Linked DNA regions of Cricetulus griseus. The protein of the gene in region 1 purifies or fractionates together with the protein of each later gene. This does not show direct contact. Links are inferred from orthologs where the notes say so. Each region holds a gene or a part of one and is shown in the gene's direction. Other genes may lie near its edges.

Region 1 (4,239 bases):
AAACTCCATAATGAAACCATTGTGCTGGCCATTTCCTCTGAGAGCCCTGGCTGTTACTGTGACCTCAGAGCTAGAGGTAGTTCCAGGTGTGAGGCCGCATAGACAGTTCAAACCTACCTCACCTCTCTCTCCTCTCATGCCAATTCTGAGGATGAGTTGTCCTTACCCATTTTGCAGGTTTTTGGTGTACTGAGCTCAGAAAAATGGCGTGTTCTTGGTCATTTATATATTTGCAAAGAGGTAGAGTTGAGGCCTCAACCCAAGCCCATGGGTCCAAAGTTTGTACTTTGAAGCTTTCCATCGTCTTAGGTTTGGAAACGCCCAATGTCCAGATCTTTCTGTTGAACTTCCAGCAATGGATGTAGTGATACGCTGGCAAATATTTAACAAGCAACTCTCTGGAAGAAAAAGCTAAGGTATGGTTTGTCAAATTTCTCCATTTCCAAGTAGAACATACTTCCTTGGAGGCCGATGCCAGGTGACCAGTCTGACATCACTGAATATGGCCCTGAGAAGGAGGACAGCGGTCCTAAGTGTTTGCAAGCCTCTGAGAACCAGCTCCAGCACCTTACAGGAAGAGTAGCCACCCTTCCCCCAGCCCAGTGTGGCCAGTGAAGGCCATTAGACAAGTCTTTGGCGGGGAAGAGGGCGGAGAAACCTGCTCCTCCAGCCAGGGCCTGCCCAAGGGAGTCCTGGGAAACTGCCGTTAAACTTTAAGCAAGTCTTGCAAACAGGAGTGGCTACTTTGCCTGCTGTTCATGAGGATCCTGAGCAGCCCCGTTCTCTCTTCTGGCTCAGTGGGCTACCCTGGCCACACTTGCACTCAGCAGTGCGGCCTTCAGATCCCAGTCCTGTCCACTCCTACCTACTTCACAACGGGAGGAGGCTGGAACAGGAAACTGATGACTGAACAAACCCTGAGGCACCTGGCCTAGATGTGAACTTAGATCAGCCTGACTCAAAGCTTTGCTCCTTCCTGGCCTGCTGGGACATACATTGTACCCTGAGGCTGGAGCCTCTTATGTTCTGGGAGGATGGGAACCTGCCCTTCAGGAGGGGTCTCCACCAGGAGAAAGCTCAGGCCTGGTGCCACATTAACCTGGTTGGGTCTCAGTTGGCCACCTGTGAGATGGGAGCACTTTCAAGGAAGGAGGATGGAGGCAGATGGTCGGATTCATCTTTCTAGAGGGGAACGGAGGAGTCAGAGGTGGACCCCCTCCCTGGCCCAAGGGGCAGCCCTAGAACCTGGACAGGGACTGGCGTTTGTGAGGGGTGGTCTTTGAGACCAACCTGAAACCACATCCCGCCCCCTTATCCCATTTTCCTTCTCTACTTCCTGTTTGGCTGATCCTGCTGTCCTCAGTGGCTGACTACCTGCATACTTCCCAGCAGATGTACGTGGTCTCTGCATGCGCTGAAAATGAATTTAGGGCTGGCCTGATGCTTGCAGTCCCTGCCCTCCATAGGCAGAAGCTGGAGCCTCCCACAAGTTCAAGGCCAGCCTGTGTCACATAGTGAGCCACTGTTTCGCCTCTTGATACATTTTAATAAAGCTGCCTCTCTCCTCCTCACTCTGCCCCTCTGGTCCCAGTCTCTGGTTAAAGACAATCAGGTCAAAGCTGGTGTGGCCAGTTGCCTCAGTTTCCGTGTCTGGAAGATAGTGCTAGCCATCGGTGCGTAGCTCAGGTAGCTAGGTTGGTCCGGGGCGAGAGGGCGCCCCCGCGGGTGGAGCTGCGGGGAGGGGGCTGGGTGCGGGAGGCGCGGGGCCCGGCTCGCACAGCAGGTCCCCCGGGTCGCCGGCGGGGCCCGGGTCCGCGCTTCCTTCTTTCTCCGGCTCGCATCGGCCGCGGCCCCTCCTCCCGCGCGCTCCCTCCCCCTCGCCGCTGCCGCCGCCGCCGCCGCCTCCTCCCTTTCTCTAGGTCTGTCTCTCCCGGCCCGGAATCCACCCGGCCGCCCCGCCGGAGCGGCCAGGCCGCCGCCCGCCAGCGCTGCGCGCCCCGCTGGGGTCCGCCCGGGCGCGTCCGGAGCCCGCGGCCGCGCCGCAGGTGAGCGCCCCCGCCCCGCCAGCCCCGCGCCCCGCTGCGGGCTCCCGCCCTGCCCACTCCCCGCCGCGGCCCGCGACCTGCCCGGCGCGGCCTTTTGTTGGGATGCGCGGGGGAGGCCGGGCGGGGCGCGGGGGGCACCGGCGCGTGGGGACCCTCGGCCGCAGAGTCCCCAGCCCGGCTAGGCCACATCTGAAAACCCGGCCGATCGGCGCCGCCCGCGATCGCGGCTGCGGGGCCCTGCGCCCCCGGCCCGGAGTGGGGGTTGGGGGTGGGGTGGGCGCTGGGGACTGGGCTCCCTGGTGGCCACGCGACCTCCTTGGGTCTCCGGGCCTCGGTTAGGGCCTGGTGCTGTTGGCCTGGCGGAGACTGGGCCACTCTGTCCTCCCCTCACCCCCGCCAGCCCCCAGCCTCGCCCCTCCTCGGGCCCAGCGACCTGCCGGCTCCGAAGTTGGCAAAAGTTTTGGTGTTTCAGTACCACTACTAGGTCCACTTGCCCACCCGGGCAGGTACTGGAGGTGAGTTTGTGTCCCCACTAGAACCACCACTTGTCATGCTGTGTGTCTTGGAGACAACTGCCTTAGCTCTCTGAGCCAAGGCCCTTCTCAGTGATGGGTAGACGGCCAGGACTGCTAGGCTGGTTGAAGAGTGGAGTGGACAGAGGGGACTTTTCCCTGGGTAACCCCTAAACCTCTAAGGTATTCAGAGGGAGAAAAGTGGACAGAGACGTGTGAGGCTTATGAGGCCCTAAACAAGGTCTTCCCTGACTCACAAACTGTGTGAGCAATGGTGATGGGTTCACCTGGGTGGAAGTCAGATTCAGTTTCCAAGGTGGGCATGGGGGCGGGGCGCGTGCGGGGGTGGGGCGGGGCGGGCGGGGATGGGGCTCTTTCCAGACTTTTGAGTCCAAGCATCAAAGTCTCTTGTTTTCCTGGGTGATCTGAGCTGGGGGCTGCTCCTTGGATCCTTCACAGCAGTGACAGGGTCCTCAGGTGATTACTCCCTGTGCTTCTGGCAGCTAAGGAGTTGGCATGCATGGGGTGGGGTGTCAATAAATGAGTTCCACCCTGGAGCCTGCACAAGATGACTGGGGTGCTTGTGGCACAGCTGCCTGCAGGAGAGGGTAACTGTGTCTCGAAGGGTGCCCTAGAGCCTCAATATCCGAGCACCCTCCTGTGGCCCACAGCTGTGTGAATATAGTCAGCTCTGGGTTCCTTTTGCCTCAGTCTTGTCAGAAAGGAATGATCAATCAGATTGTGAAGGCACTCAGTGGTAGAGCACAGGCTTCGCATGCCCAAGGCCCTGGTGCTAGCCTTGGCACTACAGGACGGACAGATAAATCAGGTGGAGCCATGATGATCAGAGCTGTTGAGGTTCACTGAACTCCTCCTGGGGCTAGCTCAGTCTGCAGCTGGAACTGGAACTTAGACTTCAGAGGAGCTGGCTGGCTGCCCTTTAACCTGCAGTGACAGTGAAGGCTGTATAGTTTGGGGTCAGGAACAAGGCATTGTTGGAAAAAGACTCCTCCCATATCACCCCCACCTGGCAGAGCCATAAGGCCCTGCTGGAGATGGGGTGTGTCCCGGTGAGGTGGCCTTTCCACAAGGGGAAGTGACTTATAGTGTGTCACCTCTCAGCTGACTGCTTGTATCCTGGGGTACACACTGAGAATGAGTGTTAGGGGCACGCCCCATCTCATGTTCATCCTTGTTCTTCCAGCCTTAGGGCAACCCTATCTCTCCCACCCAATCCTCTTCTGTTTCCTGTCGTGTCCCTTTCCCCAGCCCCCCACCAGCCTCCAGCTTATAGGCTGCCTCCTGCTTGGGCTTTTACCCCATTCTCATCTGACAGTAGGGGTGGGAATGGAGCATGTCTGGGTCCTCTAAGTCCCAGGATCTAAGGAGGACTGGCTAAATGGTTTTTGTCCCTGTTATCCACCTGGTCCTCGGCTGTCTTTGATCGTACATTGAGCACTTACTATGCACTAGGGCCTGTGAACTTTGTTGAGCAGCTTTGTGGTAGGAGGACGACAGCTTCCTGAAGGAGGAGCTTGAGCTGGAGCAAGCAGTGGCCAGCTAGCCAAGAGTGCAGCTGGACCAGTGTTCTTCCCCTCTGCTCAGAAGGTCATCTGCCTGGGGACTTGCTGGGAAATTGTGAACAGGTCCTTGGCTTCTAGAAACTGGAGTAAGGCGGATAA
Region 2 (3,500 bases), on another chromosome or scaffold:
TTTGGCCTAGTTTCCACATCCTAGGTGAAGAACCGGGCTTGTAATAGGCATTTAATACATTATAACAGTAGATGTATTACTACTACCAGAAGAAGGCTTGGTCTGTAAATTGCTTTCCACTCAAACAGAAGACCTGAGTGCAATCCTGAGTACTCATGTAAAAAGCCAGGCATGGCGTGTGCCTGTAATCCTAGAGTTGGGTGGGGTGTAGACAGGAGGATCCTTGTGGGGGTAGACAGAGGGATCCCTGAGGGGGGCAGACAGAGGGATCCCTGAGGGGGGCAGACAGAGGGATCCCTGGGAGGTGCAAACAGAGGGATCCCTGAGGGGTGCAAACAGAGGGATCCCTGGGGAGGGTAGACAGAGGGATCTCTGAGGGGTGCAAACAGAGGGATCCCTGGGGGCACAGACAGGAGGATCCCTGGGCGGGTAGACAGGATCCCTGGGGGTAGGTGGGTGGAGCAAATAGCCTAGTTGAATCATTGAGATCCAAGTTCAGTGAGAGAGCCAGCTCAAAAAATAAGGTGGATGGAGAGCAACTGACTGAGATGCCCCTCATTGGCCTGTGGCCTGCACATGCATCTACACACACACACACACACACACACACACACACACACACACACACACACACTCACACACACACACTCACACACACACTCACACACCACACACACACACACACACACACTCACACACACACACTCACACACACACACACACTCACACACACACACACACATTCACACACACACACTCACACACACACACACTCACACACACACACACACTCACACACACACACACACACACACACACTCACACACACACATACTCACTCAGACAATTAACAGGGTTTCACTATGTAGGCCTGGCTATCTTGGAACTCACTACATAGACCAGACTGTCCTCAAACTCACAGAGATCTGCTTGTCTCTGCTTCCCAAGAGCTGGGATGAAAGGTGTGTGCCATCACATCCAGATTTTTTCTGTTTGAACTGTTCTAGTTGGGAATCTAATTGCACCACCTTCGGAAGGGGATTGTAAACCATTGGGAACACCAATCTTACATTTTTAAAATACCCAGTAGTATGCCAGGCATCCACATTCCTAGTGATTACCTAGGGCATTGGACTGAGTGATCAGCCACAGTAACAGATAAGGGAGACTGGGCCATAATGAGGAACTGATCCTAACTGTACTTTCTCATTCTCCAAAGGCGTGCCCAGCCCCACTGTGACACTGGACAAAAAGGAGGTGACAGAAGGTGGAGTTGTGACTGTCAATTGTTCTGTGAAAGAAGAACTGCCACCGATATATTTTAAGATTGAAAAAGTAGAACTGGGTACAAAACTTGTGAAGCAAATAAGAGACAAGACTTCGAACCAGAATTTCGTGGTAATGGATTTCCCCATCGAGGAGCAGGACCACGTGCTAGTGTTCCGATGTCAAGCTGGGATCATGTCCGGGATCCAAATGCAGACCTCAGAATCCACCCGGAGTGAATACGTTACGGTGCAGGGTCAGAATCCTGCTCTCCTTACACTCTTTTTGTGTTTGTTTGTTTGTTTGTTTTTTGTTTTTCAAGACAGGGTTTCTCCATGTAACTTTGGAGCCTGTCCTGACACTCACTCTGTAGACCAGGCTGGCCTAGAGCACACAGAGATCTGCCTTCCTCTGTCTCCTGAATGCCGGGATTAAAGGTGTGTGCCACCCGGCACTTCAGAGGCAGAGGCAGGCAGATCTCTCTGAGTTTGAAGCTAGCCTGGTCTACAGAGTGAGTTCCATAACATCTTCCAAAGCCACAGAGAAACCCTGTCTCGAACCCCCCACCCTCAAAAAGAAAAAAAAAAAAAGTGTGCCCCACCGCTGTCCGGCTTCTGCTTACACTCTTGGTGCTGACAGGTTGCATGTAGCAAAAAGGAGCCCAGAATCAGGGAAGCTGAGACTCCCCCCCACCCCAACCCTCCCCCAAGTGTCTGCTCTCAGAATTTAAAACCTGGTACATAGACCATAATCCCAGCCCTGTGTAAGGCAAAGGCAGGAGGATCAGGAGTTCAAGACTAGCCCTCAACTGTGAGACTCTTTCTCCCCTAAGTCAAATAAATAAATAAAATTAATTAAAAAGAAATAAGTTAGAGAAAGGGAATCAGAGGCTGGGTTTACCAGTGCAGGCCTGTAATCCCACCCACTCAGGAGGCAGAAGCAGGAGGACTGAAGATTCAAGGCTGGCCTCAGCTACAGAACAAGTTCAAGGCCAGTCTGGGCAATTTAGTGAGACCCTCTCTCAAAATAAAAAATGAAAGAGAGAACTAGAGATATGGCTAAGTGGTAGAACATTTGACTAGCATTTAGGAGAACCTGAATCCATTCAAGGAGGGTGTAGTGGGAGGGGAGGAGCCAAAAGAGCCAAAAAGGACTAGGGAGATAGCTTGGTCAGTAAACGCAGGTAAAGCTGGGTATAGTGGTGCACACTTGTAATCCCAGCCCCGGGAGCCAGAGACACTCCATGGTTCTGACACACTGCATGGTTACTCAGCCTAAGCCTTCTTATCCAGCCCCAACCCAATTAGAGATCCTGTCTCAAAAAAAACCAAGGCAAATGGGGCTGGAAAGATGGCTCAATAGTCATGCACACTGACTGCTCTTCCAGAGGACCTGGGTTGGATTCCCAGGCCCCACACCCACATGACAGCTCACAACCATCTGTAACTCCAGTTCCAGGTATCTGATGCCCTCTTTTGGGCTTCATAGTCAGCAAGTATGCATGTGGTTCGTGTGTGTGTGTGTGTGTGTGTGTGTGTGTGTGTGTGTGTGTGTGTGTGTGTAAAGCAAAACAAAAGATATAGCAGTGTCTGAGAAGTGATATCTGAGGTGCACTTCTGCCCTTCACACACACGTATAATTCACTCCTGCCACTGACACACACACATACACACAGTTCCTCCCACACAAATATTAGAGTAGGAAATGTCCAGGTTTGAACTTGAGTCCAACTGGCTTATCTTCTACTTTCTTGTAGAGTCCTTCTCTACTCCCAAGTTTCTAATCCACCCTTCTGGAGTGATCATAGAAGGAGACCAGCTATACATTAAGTGCACAGTTCAAGTGACACACTTGGTCCGGGAATTTCCAGAAATTATAATCCAAAAGGACAAGACTATTGTGGCCACCTCCAAACGGAACATTGAGGCTCTCTACTCAGTCATGGCCACGGTGGAGAATAGTGGCCATTATACCTGCAAAGTGGAATCTAACCGCATCTCCAAGGTCAGCAGCATCATGGTCAACATAACAGGTAGGAATGCTGAGGGAGACGGCTGGCAATGGTGGGCTCAAGGGGCAATTGTGACCGGACGTAGTTCCACACGTCTATAATGCCAGCATTTGGGAGGCTGAGGCAGGAGGAGCATGAGCTCAAGGCTAACCTGGGCTATCTAGTAGTACTCTGTACTGCAATCCAAGGTGGACTATGTGTGTGTTTAGGCTGGGCACTGGGG
Region 3 (4,013 bases), on another chromosome or scaffold:
ACAACTTCTCGTCCAGCCATACAGCAGGAGCCAGGGGTAGGTGCACCCACCCTAGTGACAGGTAGTCAGGGCTGCTAGGAGAGGGCATGACCTCAAAGGCCCTTGCTTCCCTTTTCTCTGCATGGGAATGGAGCTACAGACAGGGCCGCCAGCAAGGATCAGAGCTCGAGCCCCTGGTGTGTAGGAAGTTGAGTTCCTTAGATTTGGTATCTTGTCTCTTTGAAATCACAGCAGTCCCTCCTGCAGGCTTGGTGTCTGGGACTTAAGGAGTCTGAGGAGTCTTGTGATCCTGCCCTTTCCTGCTTTATCACTCAGGGCAGGTACTGCTAGCCTCCAAGCCTACTTTCCTCAGCTCCAAAGACAACAGTTTGGCCTTTTAGGTCACCAGAAGGGGCACTTGTTTGTGACCACGCGTGTAGATGCCTTTAGTGGTTCCTAGTAGATGGTGATCAGTGCAGTGCAGCCACTGCCCCTCGATTGCCACTCACGAGGGCCCAGGAAGCAGGTCACTAGATGCTGAGAGTGAGCAGGTCAGTGAGCAGTGCAGGAAGGAGGGAGGGTGTGGTGAGCGGGGCTGGACTGTACCCAGGCCGTGGCACTGTGGAAGGTCCCAAGATGGGAGGCTATGGCAGGAAGGTCAGTACCTCCAACTCCTGTCCCTCTAGCTGTCCCTTCCTGTCGAGAACCTGAGCCTCTTGTCGGCTACTGCATGCCAGGGTAATGGCAGCTTGTGTTGGAGATCTGACCCACCCCCCATTAAAAGCGGAGTCATGGGGCCCTGGAGTTTCTAGGGCTGGGCTGCTTGCCAGGCTTTGGCAGAGCAGTCTTACTCCCAGCTTGTTGAGGGGGTGGCTGCTGCCGAGCTGGCTTCATGCCAGCCCCCTACCTCTCTGCATACCTTACCCACAGCCTGGGGCCTCAGGAGGAGCTTAGAGCATGGAATTCCGCTCCTACCTGGAGCACAGGTGCTCCCTAAGGCCACCCCCTGTCTTTAGACTTGGGCTGAGGCTCTTAGAAGTCCAGAGAGGACCTGGCTCTATCTACCCAGCCCCTCCCTGTGCTGTGACATGACGTAGGACTCCTCCCACCCAGCTCTCCCAGTTGCCCTCAGGAATCAGAGTTCTAAGCAGGCATTTCTTGCTTACACCAGGCAGCAGCAGCCTAGCCTTGTCAGGAGGAATGCAGAGCCAGGCATCTAACCCCTGAGGGAGGAGAGGACGGGCAGCCGATGTGGAAACTCCAGGTCTCTTCTCCCATCGAAGCAGCAGGTGTCTGCCAGACAGGATCTCTTCAAGTTCAGGAAGGCAGGACACTGCCCCTGGGAAGTGCCCAATAGGGCCAACTCTCACCAGTGGACGTCTTCTCTTTGCAGACGCCCTGCTGGCAGACTTGGAATCAACCACCTCCCACATCTCCAAACGGCCAGTGTTCTTGTCAGAGGAGCCCCCTTACTCCTACCCAACTGGAAACCATACCTATCAGGAGACTGCAGTGCCACCCCCTGTTCCACCACCCCCATCCAGCGAGGCCCTCAATGGCACGATCCTTGACCCCTTAGACCAGTGGCAGCCTAGTGGTTCCCGATACACTCACCAGCAGGTAAGGTGGGGTCTGCGGAGCCCTTGGGGGCTGAGTGGTAAAAGGAGCTGATCTGCCGAGGAGATGGAAAGCCATTGGGGATGGACTGGGATTCTGGGCTCCTAGTCATACACTGCCCTTCTCACCCACCATGTGAGGGGCCAGTGACCAAGTATTAATCACCTGACTAGCTGTGGAAATTCCCTGGTGAGACAAGCTATGAGCAGGAGCTGCCTGGGGGTGGCCTGAGTAAAGTACTCTTTCTTCTGCAGCCTCCATCCCCGTCACCTGTGTACAGCTCCAGTGCTAAGACTTCCGGTGCCTCTAACCCTCAGGACAGCGCTCTCTGTTCCCGAGCAGGCGAGGAAGAACACGTCTACAGGTACAGAACCAGCACTGTACATCAGCCCGGCTTCTGGGAAACCCTAGGGCCACTGGTGGAACTATAGAAGGCCTGAAGGCCCCTGCCAGGCCCTGTGCTTGTCAGCTGGCTCCCCTCTGCCCTGTCACTGCCTTCTCTGTAGAGACAGCATCTCTGTAGTTGAGAAACTGAAGCAAAATTTCCTTCCTCCTTGCCTTACCACATTCCTTCCCTACCCTCCGCCTTCTTGCTGAAGAGACTTGGTAACATTCCACCCCTCCGGCCTTGAGAATCTGGGGCCTGCCACATCCAGTGCAGGGCAGAAGAGTCTTACTTGTTTCCTCTCCTTCTCAAAGCTTCCCCAACAAACACAAGTCCGCAGAGCCTTCACCTACCATGATGAGCTCCTCCCTGGGCAACAACCTCTCGGAGCTTGACCGTCTGTTACTAGAACTGAACGCTGTGCAGCACAACCCTTCAGGCTTCCCTGCAGGTGTGAGCGGGTCTCTGGACTACTCATGGGCCTTTGGGTTCCTAGAGGACTCAGGGATGAGCAACCATTTTGTTTCCTTATCTCCAAGATGAAGCCAACTCAAGCCCCCCACTACCTGGAGCCTTGAGCCCCCTTTATGGTGTCCCAGAGAGTAACAGTACCCTGGGAGGAAAAACTGGGCCCCTGATGAAAGAGAAGCCAAAGCGAAATGGAGGCCGGGGCCTGGAGGATGTGCGGCCCAGCGTGGAGAGCCTCTTGGATGAACTGGAGAGTTCTGTGCCTAGCCCTGTGTGAGTATCCATTAGGGTCTCCCCAGGCTGGGGAAGCTCTTGAAGTCTCACCCCGACTGTCTTCGGGCTGTGTGGTACCTGTCCATCAGCCCTGAAGTCACCTGCTCCCTACAGTGTCTGCTACTTGCCAGGTCCTGGGGATATGGCATGACCCGGCAAAGCCAGGGTTAGCACAGGTTTGCTGATGTGGCACAGGGTTTAGATCATGGCTGTGCCAGCTACAACAGTCTTACTCTCGCTCTATAAGTTGGAATAAGCCAAAGTAGGGCATGGTGACACATGGTTATAATCCCAGCATTTGGGAGGTCGAGGTTTGGAGATCTCAGGTGCAAGACCAATCTGGGCTATATAAGTGAGTTCCAAGACAGTCTGAACTGCATGAGACCATAGCGCAAAAATACGACATAAACTATAAAATAGGTAAAGCAGACAGTAATAATGGAGATGACCCTACATAGTAAATAGAGTGAGACCAAATAGTATATAATAGTATATAATGTTGGGGGGGGTGGGGGCTGGCTCGTAGCTGTGGCAATCACAGCTATTAGGGAAGCCCCTAATAGCGTCAGGTCTTGTTTATTTTGAGGTAGGGTTTCACTCTATATCCCAGACTCTTCTGAAACTCACTATGTAGTAGCCCTCCTGCCTCAGCTTCCCAAGTGCTGGGTTACAGGGATGAGCCACCATGTGTCAGTGTTTATTGATGTGTAATAATCTCGCATGTGTATAGTGTTGAGAGGCTTTGTAGTGGTGCCCCTGTCTTCCTGTAGGGGTACTGTGAACCACCTACCTTCTCTGGTCACCTCACCTCAGCACTGTTTCTTAGCTAGTCACTCTTTCCCAGGGATGGGGATCCCTAAGGTGCTGCTGGGTTCTGGTGGCCTTCCCTGGAGTTGGAGGTGTCGTTGATCTGGAGCCCCCCCCGTGGAGCCTGGGGCTGACCCTTGGGCTCCTTACTGACTCCATGCCTGCCCCACAGCCCGGCTATCACTGTGAACCAAGGTGAGATGAGCAGCCCACAGCGAGTCACCTCCAGCCAGCAGCAGACACGCATCTCGGCCTCCTCTGCTACCAGGGAGCTGGACGAGCTCATGGCTTCACTGTCGGATTTTAAGGTGCCCTCTGATTCTCTCTGTCTTCCCTGCTCCCATCCATTACCCTTCCTCAGTATGACTAGCAGCTCCTCGGGGCCCTGGAGGAGAGAGGCTAGGTAATATTCAAGACTGAGCTCCTTAGCAGCTTGTGAAGGCAGAGAAACCAGAGATGCCTTTAGCTGGAACATTCCTCCCTC
Region 4 (3,500 bases), on another chromosome or scaffold:
AATGTTCTGGTACTTGATAGCCAAGACTTGCCTCAAATTCACCAGAATCCTATTTCAGCTTCCTGAGTACTAGGATTGTGTGTGTGCAGCCAGGGCTAGTTGGTCTTCTGTGTGCCACCACTGCCCGGCTGGATTCAAGTTGTTGAGGGCAAGTATTTTCTTAGTCAGATCCAGAGATGGTACCTTGAATCTCTTGTAGCCAAGCAGAGAAGGGTATAACCCTTAAGTTGGCCCTTGTTTGAGGCATTTAGGTTTTATAAATAGTACAAAAACTGGTGGGTTTTTCCCACTGAGAACCTGTGTCTAGTTGTCTAAAAACTATCGATTCTGCTGACAAGGATTAGAGTAGTGCTTTAAATGCCATTGGTAGGCCTTGAGTCTAGCCTTTTCTCTCTTCCAGAGAGGAACAAGCGAGGGAACTCTATAGAAGACTGAGGGAGAGGCCTAGAGGTAGGTGGTTTTGGCCTTGGCCCTATTTTGTCTTGTCTTTGAGATAACACTGCCCCTCCCTTCCCCCTACCCCCTTACCCTCCCCACCCCCCAGAGGCCAGGAGGAAGAGCTATGCCACTGTTCTCTGCAGACCAGAGGACAGACGGTGACAGTCAGGAAATGGTTCGGCTGCTACTTCAGGCAATCCAAAGCTTTGAGAAGAAAGTGCGCGTAATTTATACACAGCTCAGGTAGGTGCTCTGCTCCTGCTCCAGGACAAGATGTGGGATTATAGCAAAACTGAGGGTCAGATGGGTGCTCTTGCTCTGAATTGCCTATACAGTGAAGAAACAATCTGTGGTTGCTGATAGGATCCAGAATAGTGCCCACCCAGAGCTCACGGGTGTGTGGCTCATTTGTCCTTTACAGTAAAACCGTGGTCTGTAAGCAGAAGGCACTGGAGTTGCTGCCCCAGGTAGAAGACGTGGTGAGCCGTATGAATGAGGATGAGAAGACTGTGGTCCGCCTTCAGGAGAAGCGGCAGAAGGAGCTCTGGAACCTCCTGAAGATTGCCTGTGTGAGTGGACCTTTGCTCCAGCCTCTCAGGTCCCCATGTTGGTGTTGTGTGTGTTGTCCCTTCCATCTATCTCCCCTCCCTGACCCATGCTCCTCAGCGCTGCTCGACTGGCACTTATTTGTGACATGGAGTGGGCAGGAAGATTCCTGAAGGGAAAGTTTATGTGAGGTGTTACTTACCCATGTGACTACTATAATTACCACAAGTAGAGGGGCTCCAAACAGCAGACATTGTTCTTTCAGAGCTAAGAATCCAGCTGGCACCCTTAATCCCAGCACTGGGGAGGCAGAGGCAGGCGGGTCTCTAAGTTCAAGGACAGCCAGGGCTACACAGAGAAACCCTGTCTCAAAAAAAAAAAAAAAAAAAAAAACAGAGAGCAGAGAGACACCCCCACCCTCCCAGCTTTAGTGGCTCAAGCCTTGTCATCTGTATCTGTGTCTTCAGGTGACATCAGTGTTTCTCATCTGAAGGACTCTTACAAGAACGCATTTAGAGTTTAGGGGTGAAGCTCAGCAGAGCCATGTTTGCCTCATGCATAAGGCCCCAGGTTCAGTCCCTAGCAACATGCATGCATACAGTCATGCAGGCATGCACACACAGATACAGGGGCCCAGTCTTACTTTTTACATGCAGATATCTGGCTCTCCCAGCACCATTTGTTGAAGAGACTGCCTTCCTCCCATGACTATTTTTGGCGTCTTTGTCAAATCAGATTTCTGTGCCTGGGTGGATTTCTGCCTGGGTGCTCTGTCTGCCCTATTGGTCCGTGGGTCTATTTTTTTTTTTTTTTTAAGATTTTATTTATTATGTGTGCAGTGTTCTGCCCGCATGTATCCTTGCAGGCCATGTGGTTGCTGGGAATTGAACTCAGGACCTCTGGAAGGGCAGCCAGTGCTCTTAACCTCTGAGCCATCTCTCCAGCCCGCCGTGGGTCTATTTTTGTGCCATTCTGCTAGTGTTACTGTGCTGCTTCACCTGTATAACTTGAAATTAAGGTGGTGGTAGCTCCAGCATTGGTTATTTTGCTTAGGATTTTTCCTGCTAATTAGAGTTCTTTGTATATGAAGTTTGAGGTTTTTTTTTTTTTTTTTTTTTTTTTTCTATTTCTCTTCTTGGAAGTTTGACGGGGGATTGCATTTAATATGTAGTTGATTTTGGTAGTGTAGCTATTTTCAAAATTGTCTACCAAACTGTGAGCATGGAGGGGTCTTTCCTTTTTTTTTTAAGTTTCTTCAATTTATTTAAGATATTTCATTTCCTGGATTATTCCAAGATATGAGCTTGCTTGTTCTCTCTCTGTCTCTGTCTCTGTCTCTCTCTGTCTGTCTCTGTCTCTGTCTCTGTCTCTCTCTCTCTCTCTCTCTCTCACACACACACACACACACACACACACTTGTGAACATGTACACACTATCATAACACAGCTATGGTATACTACTCAGGGAAAAAAAGTATAACAAAACAAAGAAAAAGAAGGGAAAGAGCCGAGTAATAGCGCACCTTAGAACACAGGGACCTGTTGTTGAAAAGAGACCAAGGAGAAAGAGAAGCTGGCCAAAGAAAAGTTCAGTCATTAGTAGCTTCAAGAGCAAAGAGAGAACCTAGCGTGGAGGTGCACACCTGTGATCCCAGAACCTGAGAGTGTGGAGTAGGAAGTTCAAGGCTAGTTTGACAAGATAGTACGACCCCACCTCAGATAACAAAACAACCCAAAAGGGCAAAGAAGAGGAGGTGGCTTATTTTGGAAGCAAGATACAAAATAGTGCTTCATAAAAAGCCTTTTTTAAATGTTTATTTCATGTTCCTCAGTGTTTTATGTATGTTTTGTATGTTTGTTTGAGGGTGTCAGAAGCCCTGGAATTGGAGTCAGACAGTTGTGAGCTACTGTGAAGATGCTGGGAGTTGAACCCGGGGCCTTTGGAAGAGCAGCTTCTGAGCCCTCTCTCCAGTCTCCTTGTAAAGGTTTTTGACTGGAGTGTCTCTATAGGCCAAGGGAGGAGATGGTGTCCTGGGAGATTCATAGCAGCAGGGCATTGTCACTCCTGAGAACTGAAGGAGTCAGAATCAGGAGCGTCCCTGGCAGATTTGCCTGGGGATGGGAGCTGGAGGATATAGCCTCCTGTAAGAAGGTAGGGAAAGGGGGAAATCTGAGATAACACAATGATGCCCTGCTCTGCCACCTGCATTCATGGAGTGTCCAGCAGTGGTGTGAAAGTGGGGGTACGTGGTGAACTGAGGATGGCATCCACTATAATCTAGTGAGAATTGCAGATGAGGACTTGAAAGAGAACACTAGACTGAGTAAAGAAGTGTAAAGCACATGTGCACACCAACTAAGGAGAGGCCAGAGGCTCAACTGGAATTTGCTCTGTAGACCAGGCTGGCCTCGAGCTCAGATCCTCGTGCCTGTGCCTTCCAAGTGCCGGGATTAAAGGCATGTGCCACCACTGCCCAGATCCTTCCTGTTCTTTTAGATTTATTTTCTGCAAGAGC
Region 5 (2,868 bases), on another chromosome or scaffold:
GCCTGTGTCAGCCACTCAAATATTGGGATTACATGCGCTTGCATAAAAACCTGTTATGAGTTACCTTTAAGGAAGATGCTATTCTTTCTTGTGGCCATAATCCTGGTCACTCACCTTTTTCCCTAGGTATGGAACTTGGCTAACTGCAAGCTGAAGACCAACCACATTGGCCACACTGGCTATCTGAACACAGTGACAGTCTCTCCAGATGGATCCCTCTGTGCTTCTGGAGGCAAGGTATTTAGGGGACCTCTGATCTTTATTTATGGAGAACACTTTCATCTGATAGCATGTACCAGTTAAAAGATGAGCTTAAAATGTGGGAATGTTTCTAAGGATTATCATAAAATATATAGAAAGGCATACCAAAGAAATTTTCCTTTAAAACTAAGTTGGTAGCTGAATAGATGGCTCTGGGATTAAGAGCACTGACTGTTCTCCCAGAGGTCCTGAGTTCAATTCCTAACAACTACATGGTGGCTCAAGACCATCTAATAAGATCTAGTGTCCTCTTCTGGATTAGGGCTACACACAGGCAAAACACACTGTATACATAAATAAAAGTAAGTTGATATACGTATTATACATTACAGGGAAGGTCTTAGGACCATGAACGCTGACACTTCAACCATTAGCTTTATCTATCCTAACTCACCATTTATGTCCGTCCAGGATGGCCAGGCTATGCTGTGGGATCTCAATGAAGGCAAGCACCTTTACACACTAGATGGTGGGGACATCATCAATGCCTTGTGCTTCAGCCCCAACCGCTACTGGCTCTGTGCTGCCACAGGCCCCAGTATCAAGATTTGGGTAAGTGATCTGTTGTGCACCACATTGATTTCAAGCTTTATTGGTAGATTCATCATTCAGCTGCTGTCAGTTGACAAGTTGGGATTATTTTTTCTTAACACTTAGCAGCACTGGGCAACATTTGACTAATAAAAGGGAATGCCCATATTTGGCAATTTGTTGAGTCATTTGGGCCAAAGTAATTCTCCTTTGAGAGGCTATTTTGTCAGCATATGTGGTATCTACTCACTAGATGACCATTAACAGTTACAGCCACACACCATGAAAGATAAGCAAAAATAATCCCAGTAGTGTGTAGCAGGTAGTAGAGCACTTAGCTAATGCATGAGAGGCATAAATCAAATCCCTACCACATGTGCCACTAGTATCAACTAAAAGACTGGGGATTCTATGTGGTATTTTTATGTTTTGGACAGTGTGTAACCCAGGCTGACCTTACATTTATGAGGAGTCATCTTGACTAAGTTACATGGTCAGATCTAGAACTTGGCAGTCTGCCTCAGCCTTCCAAGTAGCTCCAATTGTATAACTAAACCACTGGCCCTCTAAATGATTGTGGGTTGCTAGGGTGGGGGTTGATATTTCATATGTCCTTGAAAGAAAAAATAATCTGGAAATCTGAATTAGAAATAGGCTTTCCAAGTAGTTCATTACTGTCTGTGGTACAGGATAACTGGCCCATAGCCAGGGAATTCTGTCTCCTCCATAGTTTGAGGAATAAACTGTTTTAGGTGTCAAGCAAAGGCCCTTTAATTTGCCATCTTAAGGTCTCCATTTAAAAAAAAAAAAGCTATGGTATGACAACATACTACAGACCATAAAAGTCCATTGCATAATTGTTATGGGCATCCTTACCTGATTTTGGTTTGTTTTCAGGATTTGGAGGGCAAGATCATTGTAGATGAATTGAAGCAGGAAGTTATCAGCACCAGCAGCAAGGCAGAGCCACCCCAGTGTACCTCCCTGGCATGGTCTGCTGATGGCCAGGTAAGTACTTGATTCTGCCAACTCAGCTTCCAGCTTACTCTTCATATCACGGGCATAAGACTAATATATTAGCAGGGCAGTGGTGGCGCACACCTTTAATCCCAGCACTCGTGAGGCAGAGGCAGGAGGATCTCTGTGAGTTCAAGGCCAGCCTGGTCTACAGAGCTAGTTCCAGGACAGCCTCCAAAGCCATAGAGAAACCCTGTCTCGAAAAAAAACAAACAAACAAAAAGACTATTATATTAACAAATGAAATGATAAAGGGTGACTAGTTACAGAAAATACTATAATCTATCTGGGGAATGATTCATGATTTGGACCTCTAGAAGAGGCTTCAAAAGTATAGCAAGCTGTTTCTTCTGGGAATGTGTGCTGAGCATGTCTTAGACAAGTTCTTTGTTTGGGGGCCATACAATTCATTGTTGGGCATGACCCTGTTGCCATTCTCTTTTACAGACTCTGTTTGCCGGTTACACAGACAACCTGGTTCGAGTGTGGCAAGTGACTATTGGCACCCGCTAAAAGTTTATGACAGAGTCTTAGAAATAAAGTGGCTTTCTGAAATCTTTTCAGTTATGGTTTGTCTAGTGAGCAAGTTCCTAACTTGCCCGCCTACCCACCCTTCTCCCATTTGTTGTGTTTTGCTTGCATACATGTCTATGCCAGGGAATATTAGGGTGATGGGAAACTTTGGGACATTCAACATGGCACTGTCTGTCCTAAACTCAGGCCCACCTATGTTTGCCTTCCTCAATGGTGTATCTATCCTTCTTGGTTGCACTTCATTCTAGCAATAGCAGCAGAATAGTTTTTTCCAAGGCAGGGTTTCTCTGCCCAGTTTGAATTTAGCCCCATCTACTTGGATCTACGTATAACATTTAGTCCTTACTAAGTAAGCTACATGAATAAGGACCTCCCATTCCTCACTGAAACAGGAAACCCTAGGAATGCATAAAGAACCAGAAATTCAGGGTTGATTGTATGCTCCTGACAGCTAAGAAGCAGTTCCAGGGCTTCTATGGGAAAGTACTTCATGAAGCAAAATTGCTGCTTCAAAAGAAAGACTCC
Region 6 (3,500 bases), on another chromosome or scaffold:
CAGCTTTGGCTTCCATTGTGACTGAAATGAAGAGCCATGACAGGGACTTGAGCATAGAAATGACATGATAAAGACTTAATGCTTTGTCAATTAGCTTTCTAAAAATAAGTCTGTTTTGAAAGACAAAATTTAGCATCTCGTTGTAGATGGAAACTCAGTGTCATATGCCATAAATATAAAACAACCACTAAAATAAATTCAGAGAAAACAAAACAACGCTGTCAAAGTCTAGCCTTATGAACCTGGCTGCCCAGGACCCTGGGCTCCAGGCCTCTTCTCTCTTTGTTAAGGGAAAAGACAGTCTCAGAGTGATGTTAAAGACAGGCTCTGAGCCCTGCCCTTCGAAGTACTGAGAGGAACCTGTCATTTTTCACACTGTGACTCCTGGTGTCTGATGCTCCCCTGTAGTCCCTTGCCTAGGGGTTGGGGAGTGGGGGGACTCTGGAACATGTTCCCCTGAGGTCTTTTCCTACCACCCCACTTCCTTGCCCTGTACTCTGTTCAGTCCCTGTCCGTGTGCTGGAGCTGAGTGAGAGCCACCCTGCCAATGGGGAGCAGACAATCCGCTGTCGTGGTCGGGGCATGCCTCAGCCAAATGTCACGTGGTCTACTTGCCGAGACCTCAAAAGGTGAGCACACCTGAGCTCCAGCCTCCCAGAGTACCCACAGCTGCCTAGAATGACCCAGTGTAGGCTAACCTAGATCAACCTCTCCCCGCTGAGAGGCCCAGGCCACATCTTAGATCAGTCCTCTGCCTTCCTGAAGATACCATGCATAACCTAAATTGCTCCTTTTCTTACCCTGACCCTGAGCCATCCTCAACCCAGGAAGGTGCAGGGTTTGGCCCCCAGAGGGGTCTAATTCATCCAGTAGTTGTTCTATATCTCTGACCAGAGTTGAGTGTAGTAGATAGAGTTCAGGGTTTGCCTGACACACTGAGGGTCAAATGAGTGAATTTTGCCATTGAGGAGTCTCAGTTCTGGAGTAGGAGCTCCCCCTGCTGGTCCTTCTAGACAACACAGTAGGAACCTACTTAAGGACCAAGCAGTCATAGAAATTAAGACTTAGTTTCCCCAAATGCAGAGGGAGAACTAAGCGAGACTGTACGCCAATCTCCTTGTGTCTCCTGGCAGGTGTCCACGAAAGCTGTCACCCACACCCTTGGGGAACAGTTCCAAGGAGGAGAACCAGCTAGAGACTAATGTGACTTTCTGGGAAGAAGAACAGGAATATGAGGTGGTGAGCACACTGCGCCTGCGTCATGTGGATCAGCCATTGTCAGTACGCTGTATGCTGCAGAACTCAATGGGCAGAGATTCGCAGGAGGTCACCGTGGTACCACATTGTGAGTGCCCCAGCCTTGGGTGGCTCTGATGACCTCTCACTCCTTCCTTGATCCTGCTTTACCGTGCCTGCATGCCCAAAATGGATCAAGTGAGCATGCTCACAAGCCTATAGTAACATTACAAAACCCACCAGAGTATGTCCTTATGCACATACACAATATATGATGTGGACACCAGTGCACAAACATGAAAAGCATTGACTCAAGTGTGGAAAATGAACTGTTATGCATGATGCATGCTGTAAACTCTGAACATGAGTAGGCTGATCTTGGGACTCGGGTGTACACTCTTCATGTGCACATGCAATCTGTGCTGAGGATGCCTAATCCCCTGAGTACACTCGTGTTAGCATGTGCTCAAGCATGCACAACGCTGTCCATGTATATAAAACTGCAGGATATATTTTTGTGAGCTGTGTGTATAAGCCTGCCCAAACCCAAGACTTGCATGTAAATCTACAAAATGAATGTCTGTATGCATGTACAGGTGGGGAGCACAAACCCCCTACATGTGCATAAATCATGCATGCACAGTTCCTGTGCAAATGTGAACATTGGCATGGTTCATATTTGTACTCACACAATTGCAACATATAAAAACAAAAAAGCACTGAGCACAACTCTGTACACATACGCCTCCAGACAATGTACAAACATTAGCAGCTGCACATATATGTACAGTTATTGTGCAACATATGAACAGTGCTTGCCAGAGTCCAGATGTGTGTACATATCTCCCACTTACCCATGCCTTCACATGTATGCATGCTTCATCATCCACCTATTTCCTATTCAGTAAGTTATGGGGACCCAAACTCACTAGGGTACAGAGGCCAGTGGGTCAGTCCAGAGGGAGGAGGCAGACGAGGAGTGAGCCAGCCTACACTGGAACACTACTTCCAGGGAGCAGCCCTGAGACAGAAGGAGCCCTGTGCTAACCTTGGGATTGAGGAAATATCCCAGGAAAAAGAAGTTTTACATCAAATACCGAAAGATGACCAGGTGTTAGCCTGTGAAGGCATGGTGTCGCAGCCAAGGAGGCCTGTGCCAAAGCCTAGAGGTGGAGTGGGTTCTGAGAAGTTCAAGGAAACCAAACTGTCTGGAAGCAAACTATGTGGATTTGGGGCGGGGTGGGGGAGTAATAGGGAAGGAAGTGGTAAGGAGTGGGGCTATAGGATACAGAAGTCAGAGAAATCAGAGCTTCAAAAGACATTTTGTACATACACAGACACACACACACACACACACACACACACACACACACTCATACACACAGGCTGCCCCACACAGCCTTGTACATGTTTGTCTATGTACATACCTGTCACCTGCCCTTAGAAGATGAGTGAGCTTTTTAAATATCCTTACTGGGGCTGGAGAGACGCCTCAGAGCTTAAGTGAGCTTGCTTCTCTTCCAAAGGACCTGCGTTCCATTCCCAGCACCCATGTCAGGGGGCTCACGATCACCTGTAGCTCCAAATCCCATGGATTTAATGCTTTCTTCTGTCTTCCATCAGCATCCACACATGGCATTCAGGAATACAGTTGCACACATAAACACATACATAAAAATAAAATAAATATCTAAAATAAAATGCCCTCATTTCTCCCACACTCTCTTATAGGCACACATATCCCTGAGCAAGTGGGCACAACAAAATGTGCACAGCCTGCCATATAGAGACCCATTCTGGGCCTGAGTAAAGGCAGAATGAAAGTCATTGTGTGACATCTGGTCAGGACACCATGTACTATTACACAGAGACCTGGGATGACTCTGATGGGTCCCTGGAGGGTGCAGGCTCCCTTTGCAAGACCAGGATGTGGGGGCTGTTGTGAAGAGAGGACAAAGATGTCAGTCAGTGACCCTAAGAAGGAAAGAATGTGGAGTAAGCCAGAGGAAGACTCCCTGGGGAACAGAGGAGGGCAGGAAGAGGACATAGGAGGAAGACGAAAGTTCCCAGAAGACAGCAGCTATTGCTAATCGGGGAAGGACAGGGGCTGGGGCTTCATCCAGACTGACTGGGTAGCAGGGAGGCTGGAGCCTTGGGCCAGAGAAGACTCAGGGCTCAGGGAGCCCAGGGAGACCTGCATGTTCACCTCAGTGCCCTGGGCAGTGCCCTCTATGACTGCCCCACCAGACACACCAGCTGGTCCT
Region 7 (4,207 bases), on another chromosome or scaffold:
GGAAGGCAACCACTGCTAAACAATGAAAGCACATTGGGGAAGATGGGCTGCATGCACGCACTAGGAAGGAAGGTGTGGGCGGTGGCGTCGGAGACCTTGGCCAGAGCCGGCAAAGAAAGGAGAGGAACATTTACAGAGCACGGAGTGGCCATTCTCTCCTGGTGGGCTCATCAGCCCAACTCGCTTCCAGAGGCGGCCTTGGAAAATGGCAAGGCTAGACGGACAGGCGAGGCCTGGACAGACAGCCCAGTGGGAAGGCAGGGCGGAGGTACTAGCGCAATTTGGTTCTGGCACCTGGAACTGGGCCAACCCGTGACTAGCATCTTCACGCAGCTGCCTAGAGCTCCCGCTAATCTGATAAGATGGAGATCTCCCTCTCCCTAGGTCCAAAGAGCTGCAGGAGGCAAGAGTGCTAGAAAAAGGGAAACCAGCTTGAGAAGCAGCTTGCAGTGCTCGCAAAGGGAGGGCGCACGGCCCCGTGCGCCTTGTCCGTGGGCCACCTCGGAGGCTGGGGGGTGGGGAGTGTCCCACCCATCAGTGTGGGGTCCCCGGTCTGTTCACAGAAAGGTGTCCGCAGTCACTCACCCCCGCAGATCACGTGCCCTGCGACCGATCCAGGTCAGCCATCCCTCTCTCTGGGCGCCATCCCGCGTTCCACCCCCGCCCCCCCCCGCAGCAATGTGGGGCTCCCAGGGCCGGGGTCGTCTAACCATAGCGCACAGTAGGAGCATTGGGGGGGGGGACACAGTTCGGCATTAAGAGCCGGGCAGTAGGTAGCGCCTAGCCGAGCGGCTGCCCCCGCCGCAGCGGGGGGAGGTGGAGCCTCGGGGGGAGGGGTTGAGACCGCCGAGACAGCCCTAGAAACTGCTGGAAGAAATCGCAGTACCGCCGGCGTTGCTCCTTCCGCCGCGCGCCGCCAAAGAGTCCCTGGCAGCCCAGGCCCGCGCCCCTCCCGCCCGAGCAGCTGCTCGCCGCCTGCAGCTGCGGCCCCGTTCCGGAGGGTGGGCATCGGGACCCCCTCCAGCTGGACAGCGAATGTCCCACTGTCCTGCTCTCTCCATGTAGGGAACACTCTGGGAGGTGGGCTCAGAGAACGGCAGCCGAGTTAGCCATCTCGGTGCTCTTGCGAGTCGGGGGTGGAGGCGCCTGCCTCGAGGTTTCTGGGGGAGTCGGCGGGATATCCGCGCGTGGACACATCCCTAGCAGCATAAGCGCACCCCGTGGCCCTCATCTTGCCATGGCCTTGTCCTGGTCGTGCAGGAGAGGCCTCGGCTCGCCGCACAGGCCCCGGGTCGCCCCCCCTCCCGCCCCCAGTTGCTACCATGACGTCAAGGTGGGCGGGCGGCGGCAGGTGCGGGCGGCGGCCCCGCCCCCTGAGGCGGAGGGATCCAAGGGCGGGGCCGAGCTGTGCTTCGCCTTATATAGGGCGGTCGGGGGCGTCTGGGAGCTCTCTTGAGTCACCCCCGCGCACACTAACCTCCGCGTGCGAGTCGGTCGCGCTCCGAGCCCACCCGGCCCTGTACTACTACTCGGCTTTCCTGTCAAGGTAAGGCCGCGGCCTCCGGCCCTGCGGCTTCCCGGGGCTCGTTCCCCGGGCTCTCCCCCCCCATTCGCATCCGTCCTAGAAGGTCCCCGCCCAGCCGGGCGGCCTGTGGGCTGGTGTACCCCGAGCTGCTTGCGTCTGGCCCCGCGGGGTGGCTCGGCGAGGCTCCTTGGGGCCCCGGGTTGGGGCCCCGGCGCGTGAGGTGGGGGCGCGGCCCAGCTGTGTGCAAGGCAGCCGCACGTGGTAGGCGCCGACCTGGGACGCTGCCATGTTTGCCCTCCACTTCCGGGCGCAGCTGCAGGGTCCGAAGGGGCCGCGCGGTGGCGGGCTCCGCGGCGTGACTCAGCACGGCCCTGTGAGGCTGGCCTGGCCGCCTCCTTTGGACGCCTTTCCCAACGTGGTTGGGGTTCTTGGGCGTGGGGGTCGTCCACGGGGTGGCAGGGACGCTTGAGCGCACTGCCATTTGCCTTTCCAGATCTTTCCTGCGCTCCGGGGAAGGAGGAGGAGGAACCCGGAGGGGGCTGGCACGGGAAGATCCATTGGTCCCTCCCCTACCCCTCCCCTACTCCTCCCCGCCCTGGAGCTCAGATTGTTCTGGAAGCTCCTGGTGCCCCGCCCCAGTGCCCGGATGCTGGGGCAGTGGGAGGGTTGCGGTGGCGCCCCCTCCCCGATGGCTGCCGCCGACGCGTGTCCGGCAGTGACGAGGGTCGCTGGAAGGCTCGGGCCACCATTTTACTTGTGTTCAGGGCTATGCAAGTCTGCGCAGTGAGAGAGGTCATGGTGGAGCTTTTACCTCTTTGTCCTGGTTTAATTGCTCCTTGAGTGCCTCCATGACTGCAGCCTCGGGTTCCCTGCTCCTGCTAGGATGGAGCGGCACATAGAAATGGCTGCTGTTTCTGTTAGTTTCTTTTTTGCCCAAATAAAGTTGTAAAGGGTTTCCTGTATATGTTCACCGGGTAGCTAACGAATTATCATTTCTTGAATTTTAACAAGGTATGTTGTCGGGTTGAGCCTGTTTGAGCTGTAGTATACCGTTTTGGCTGCGTTTGTTTGAAGAACCATCCATCCTTTGAGTTTTTTCCGTTTTCGGTTTACCAGCTTACTGTAGCTTTTCAAGGTCTTTTTAAAAATGGCGGTTCTCATCCCTTGGGAATGGATACTACTCAGCTTAAAGCATTTTGAATTGGAGTTTAAAGTGCATCCATCGTTTTAGTAATTAATGTGTAATGCTTTCTTAGATGCCTGAGGAGGTGCACCATGGCGAGGAAGAGGTGGAGACCTTTGCCTTCCAGGCAGAAATCGCCCAGCTCATGTCCTTGATCATAAATACTTTCTACTCAAACAAGGAGATTTTCCTTCGAGAATTGATCTCCAATGCTTCTGATGTGAGTATCACAGCTTCATAGAAGCCCAGTGAGGGATTGAGAGGAGTCTGCCGTGGGTTGAGAGCCAAGACAATGTTTGCAGAAATGGAATAATGTGGCTGTGTGTTTATTTACAGGCCTTGGACAAGATTCGCTATGAGAGCCTGACAGACCCTTCCAAATTGGACAGCGGCAAAGAGCTGAAGATTGACATCATCCCCAACCCTCAGGAGCGCACGCTGACTTTGGTGGACACGGGCATTGGCATGACCAAAGCTGATCTCATAAATAACTTGGGAACCATTGCTAAGTCTGGCACAAAGGCTTTCATGGAGGCTCTCCAGGTGTGTGGCCCTATATCCACAACATTCTCAATACTGCTTTTGACTTGTTAATTTTTCAGTACTTGTTTTCACTAGTGATATGGTAGGCTTTTAACCTATGGAGATCAGAGGATTACTGGCCAGTAGGTCCCAGGGATTGAACTACTTGATAGTTACACTTGAGTTCAGCAAGCACTTGTGCAGAACCATTTTACTTACCTCTTAACTTTTAAAATCCTTTGGCAGGCTGGTGCAGACATATCCATGATTGGGCAGTTTGGTGTTGGATTCTACTCTGCCTATCTCGTGGCAGAGAAAGTGGTTGTGATCACAAAGCACAATGATGACGAGCAGTATGCTTGGGAGTCCTCTGCTGGTGGATCCTTCACAGTGCGTGCAGACCATGGTAAGCTGCCTGTCCTCGTTTGGATGCTTGGTAGAATTCTCTGGAGGATAGAAAGTCCAAAGTCTTGATCATGCACTGTTTAATCTCAGCACTTTGGAGGCAGAGGCAGATGGATCTCTTGTTTTAGGACAGCCTGGGCTACATAGAAGCCCTGTGTCAAAATGGGGAGCAGGGGGTTGAGTATTTTGGTTGTAGTTTTTTTGTTTGTTTTTTTTTTCTTCATTGTGGTTTTTTGAGACAGGGTTTTTCCTGTGGCTTTGGAGGCTGTCCTGGAACTAGCTCTTGTAGACCAGGCTGGTCTTGAACTCAGAGATCCTCCTGCCAGGATTAAAGGCGTGCACCACCCCACCGCCCAGCTTAGTTGTAGTTTTCTATGTCTTGATTCTATCATTCACTTTTTTATAGGTGAGCCCATTGGCCGGGGTACCAAAGTCATCCTTCATCTCAAAGAAGACCAGACAGAGTACTTAGAGGAGAGGAGGGTCAAGGAAGTGGTGAAGAAACACTCGCAGTTCATAGGCTATCCCATCACCCTCTATGTGAGTATGGACTTGGCAGTATTTGAGCAGTC

What was found.
Region 2: the proteins of Src (region 1) and Pecam1 purify together in Homo sapiens (affinity purification with western blotting; 3 studies listed by BioGRID and IntAct, with this or other methods). This does not show direct contact. The link is inferred for Cricetulus griseus from reciprocal best matches to the Homo sapiens genes SRC and PECAM1.
Region 3: the proteins of Src (region 1) and Pxn purify together in Homo sapiens (co-immunoprecipitation; 4 studies listed by BioGRID and IntAct, with this or other methods). This does not show direct contact. The link is inferred for Cricetulus griseus from reciprocal best matches to the Homo sapiens genes SRC and PXN.
Region 4: the proteins of Src (region 1) and Ikbkb purify together in Homo sapiens (affinity purification with western blotting; 3 studies listed by BioGRID and IntAct, with this or other methods). This does not show direct contact. The link is inferred for Cricetulus griseus from reciprocal best matches to the Homo sapiens genes SRC and IKBKB.
Region 5: the proteins of Src (region 1) and Rack1 purify together in Homo sapiens (affinity purification with western blotting; 4 studies listed by BioGRID, with this or other methods). This does not show direct contact. The link is inferred for Cricetulus griseus from reciprocal best matches to the Homo sapiens genes SRC and RACK1.
Region 6: the proteins of Src (region 1) and Pdgfrb purify together in Homo sapiens (affinity purification with western blotting; 4 studies listed by BioGRID and IntAct, with this or other methods). This does not show direct contact. The link is inferred for Cricetulus griseus from reciprocal best matches to the Homo sapiens genes SRC and PDGFRB.
Region 7: the proteins of Src (region 1) and heat shock protein HSP 90-beta purify together in Homo sapiens (affinity purification with mass spectrometry; 3 studies listed by BioGRID and IntAct, with this or other methods). This does not show direct contact. The link is inferred for Cricetulus griseus from reciprocal best matches to the Homo sapiens genes SRC and HSP90AB1.

The regions. Positions count from the first base shown.
Region 1 is NC_048599.1:22,117,671-22,121,909, reverse strand, and holds the start of Src (proto-oncogene tyrosine-protein kinase Src), read left to right. Parts: upstream 1-1,439; 5' UTR 1,440-1,673; intron 1,674-2,430; exon of another isoform or gene 2,431-2,560; intron 2,561-4,239. UniProt on the Homo sapiens protein: Non-receptor protein tyrosine kinase which is activated following engagement of many different classes of cellular receptors including immune response receptors, integrins and other adhesion receptors, receptor protein tyrosine kinases, G protein-coupled receptors as well as cytokine receptors.
Region 2 is NC_048600.1:119,634,657-119,638,156, reverse strand, and holds part of Pecam1 (platelet endothelial cell adhesion molecule), read left to right. Parts: intron 1-1,219; coding exon 1,220-1,522; intron 1,523-3,022; coding exon 3,023-3,298; intron 3,299-3,500. UniProt on the Homo sapiens protein: Cell adhesion molecule which is required for leukocyte transendothelial migration (TEM) under most inflammatory conditions.
Region 3 is NC_048597.1:95,638,564-95,642,576, forward strand, and holds the start of Pxn (paxillin), read left to right. Parts: upstream 1-1,213; 5' UTR 1,214-1,228; coding exon 1,229-1,268; intron 1,269-1,372; coding exon 1,373-1,599; intron 1,600-1,850; coding exon 1,851-1,960; intron 1,961-2,295; coding exon 2,296-2,432; intron 2,433-2,520; coding exon 2,521-2,722; intron 2,723-3,701; coding exon 3,702-3,837; intron 3,838-4,013. UniProt on the Homo sapiens protein: Cytoskeletal protein involved in actin-membrane attachment at sites of cell adhesion to the extracellular matrix (focal adhesion). Recruits other proteins such as TRIM15 to focal adhesion.
Region 4 is NW_023276807.1:61,028,470-61,031,969, forward strand, and holds part of Ikbkb (inhibitor of nuclear factor kappa-B kinase subunit beta), read left to right. Parts: intron 1-400; coding exon 401-450; intron 451-581; coding exon 582-681; intron 682-859; coding exon 860-1,007; intron 1,008-3,500.
Region 5 is NC_048600.1:63,461,552-63,464,419, forward strand, and holds the end of Rack1 (receptor of activated protein C kinase 1), read left to right. Parts: intron 1-126; coding exon 127-237; intron 238-672; coding exon 673-813; intron 814-1,689; coding exon 1,690-1,800; intron 1,801-2,256; coding exon 2,257-2,322; 3' UTR 2,323-2,368; downstream 2,369-2,868. UniProt on the Homo sapiens protein: Scaffolding protein involved in the recruitment, assembly and/or regulation of a variety of signaling molecules. Interacts with a wide variety of proteins and plays a role in many cellular processes.
Region 6 is NC_048595.1:178,033,331-178,036,830, reverse strand, and holds part of Pdgfrb (platelet-derived growth factor receptor beta), read left to right. Parts: intron 1-505; coding exon 506-629; intron 630-1,133; coding exon 1,134-1,345; intron 1,346-3,500. UniProt on the Homo sapiens protein: Tyrosine-protein kinase that acts as a cell-surface receptor for homodimeric PDGFB and PDGFD and for heterodimers formed by PDGFA and PDGFB, and plays an essential role in the regulation of embryonic development, cell proliferation, survival, differentiation, chemotaxis and migration.
Region 7 is NW_023276807.1:31,888,691-31,892,897, reverse strand, and holds the start of heat shock protein HSP 90-beta, read left to right. Parts: upstream 1-1,407; 5' UTR 1,408-1,546; intron 1,547-2,781; coding exon 2,782-2,928; intron 2,929-3,044; coding exon 3,045-3,251; intron 3,252-3,476; coding exon 3,477-3,636; intron 3,637-4,041; coding exon 4,042-4,175; intron 4,176-4,207. UniProt on the Homo sapiens protein: Molecular chaperone that promotes the maturation, structural maintenance and proper regulation of specific target proteins involved for instance in cell cycle control and signal transduction. Undergoes a functional cycle linked to its ATPase activity.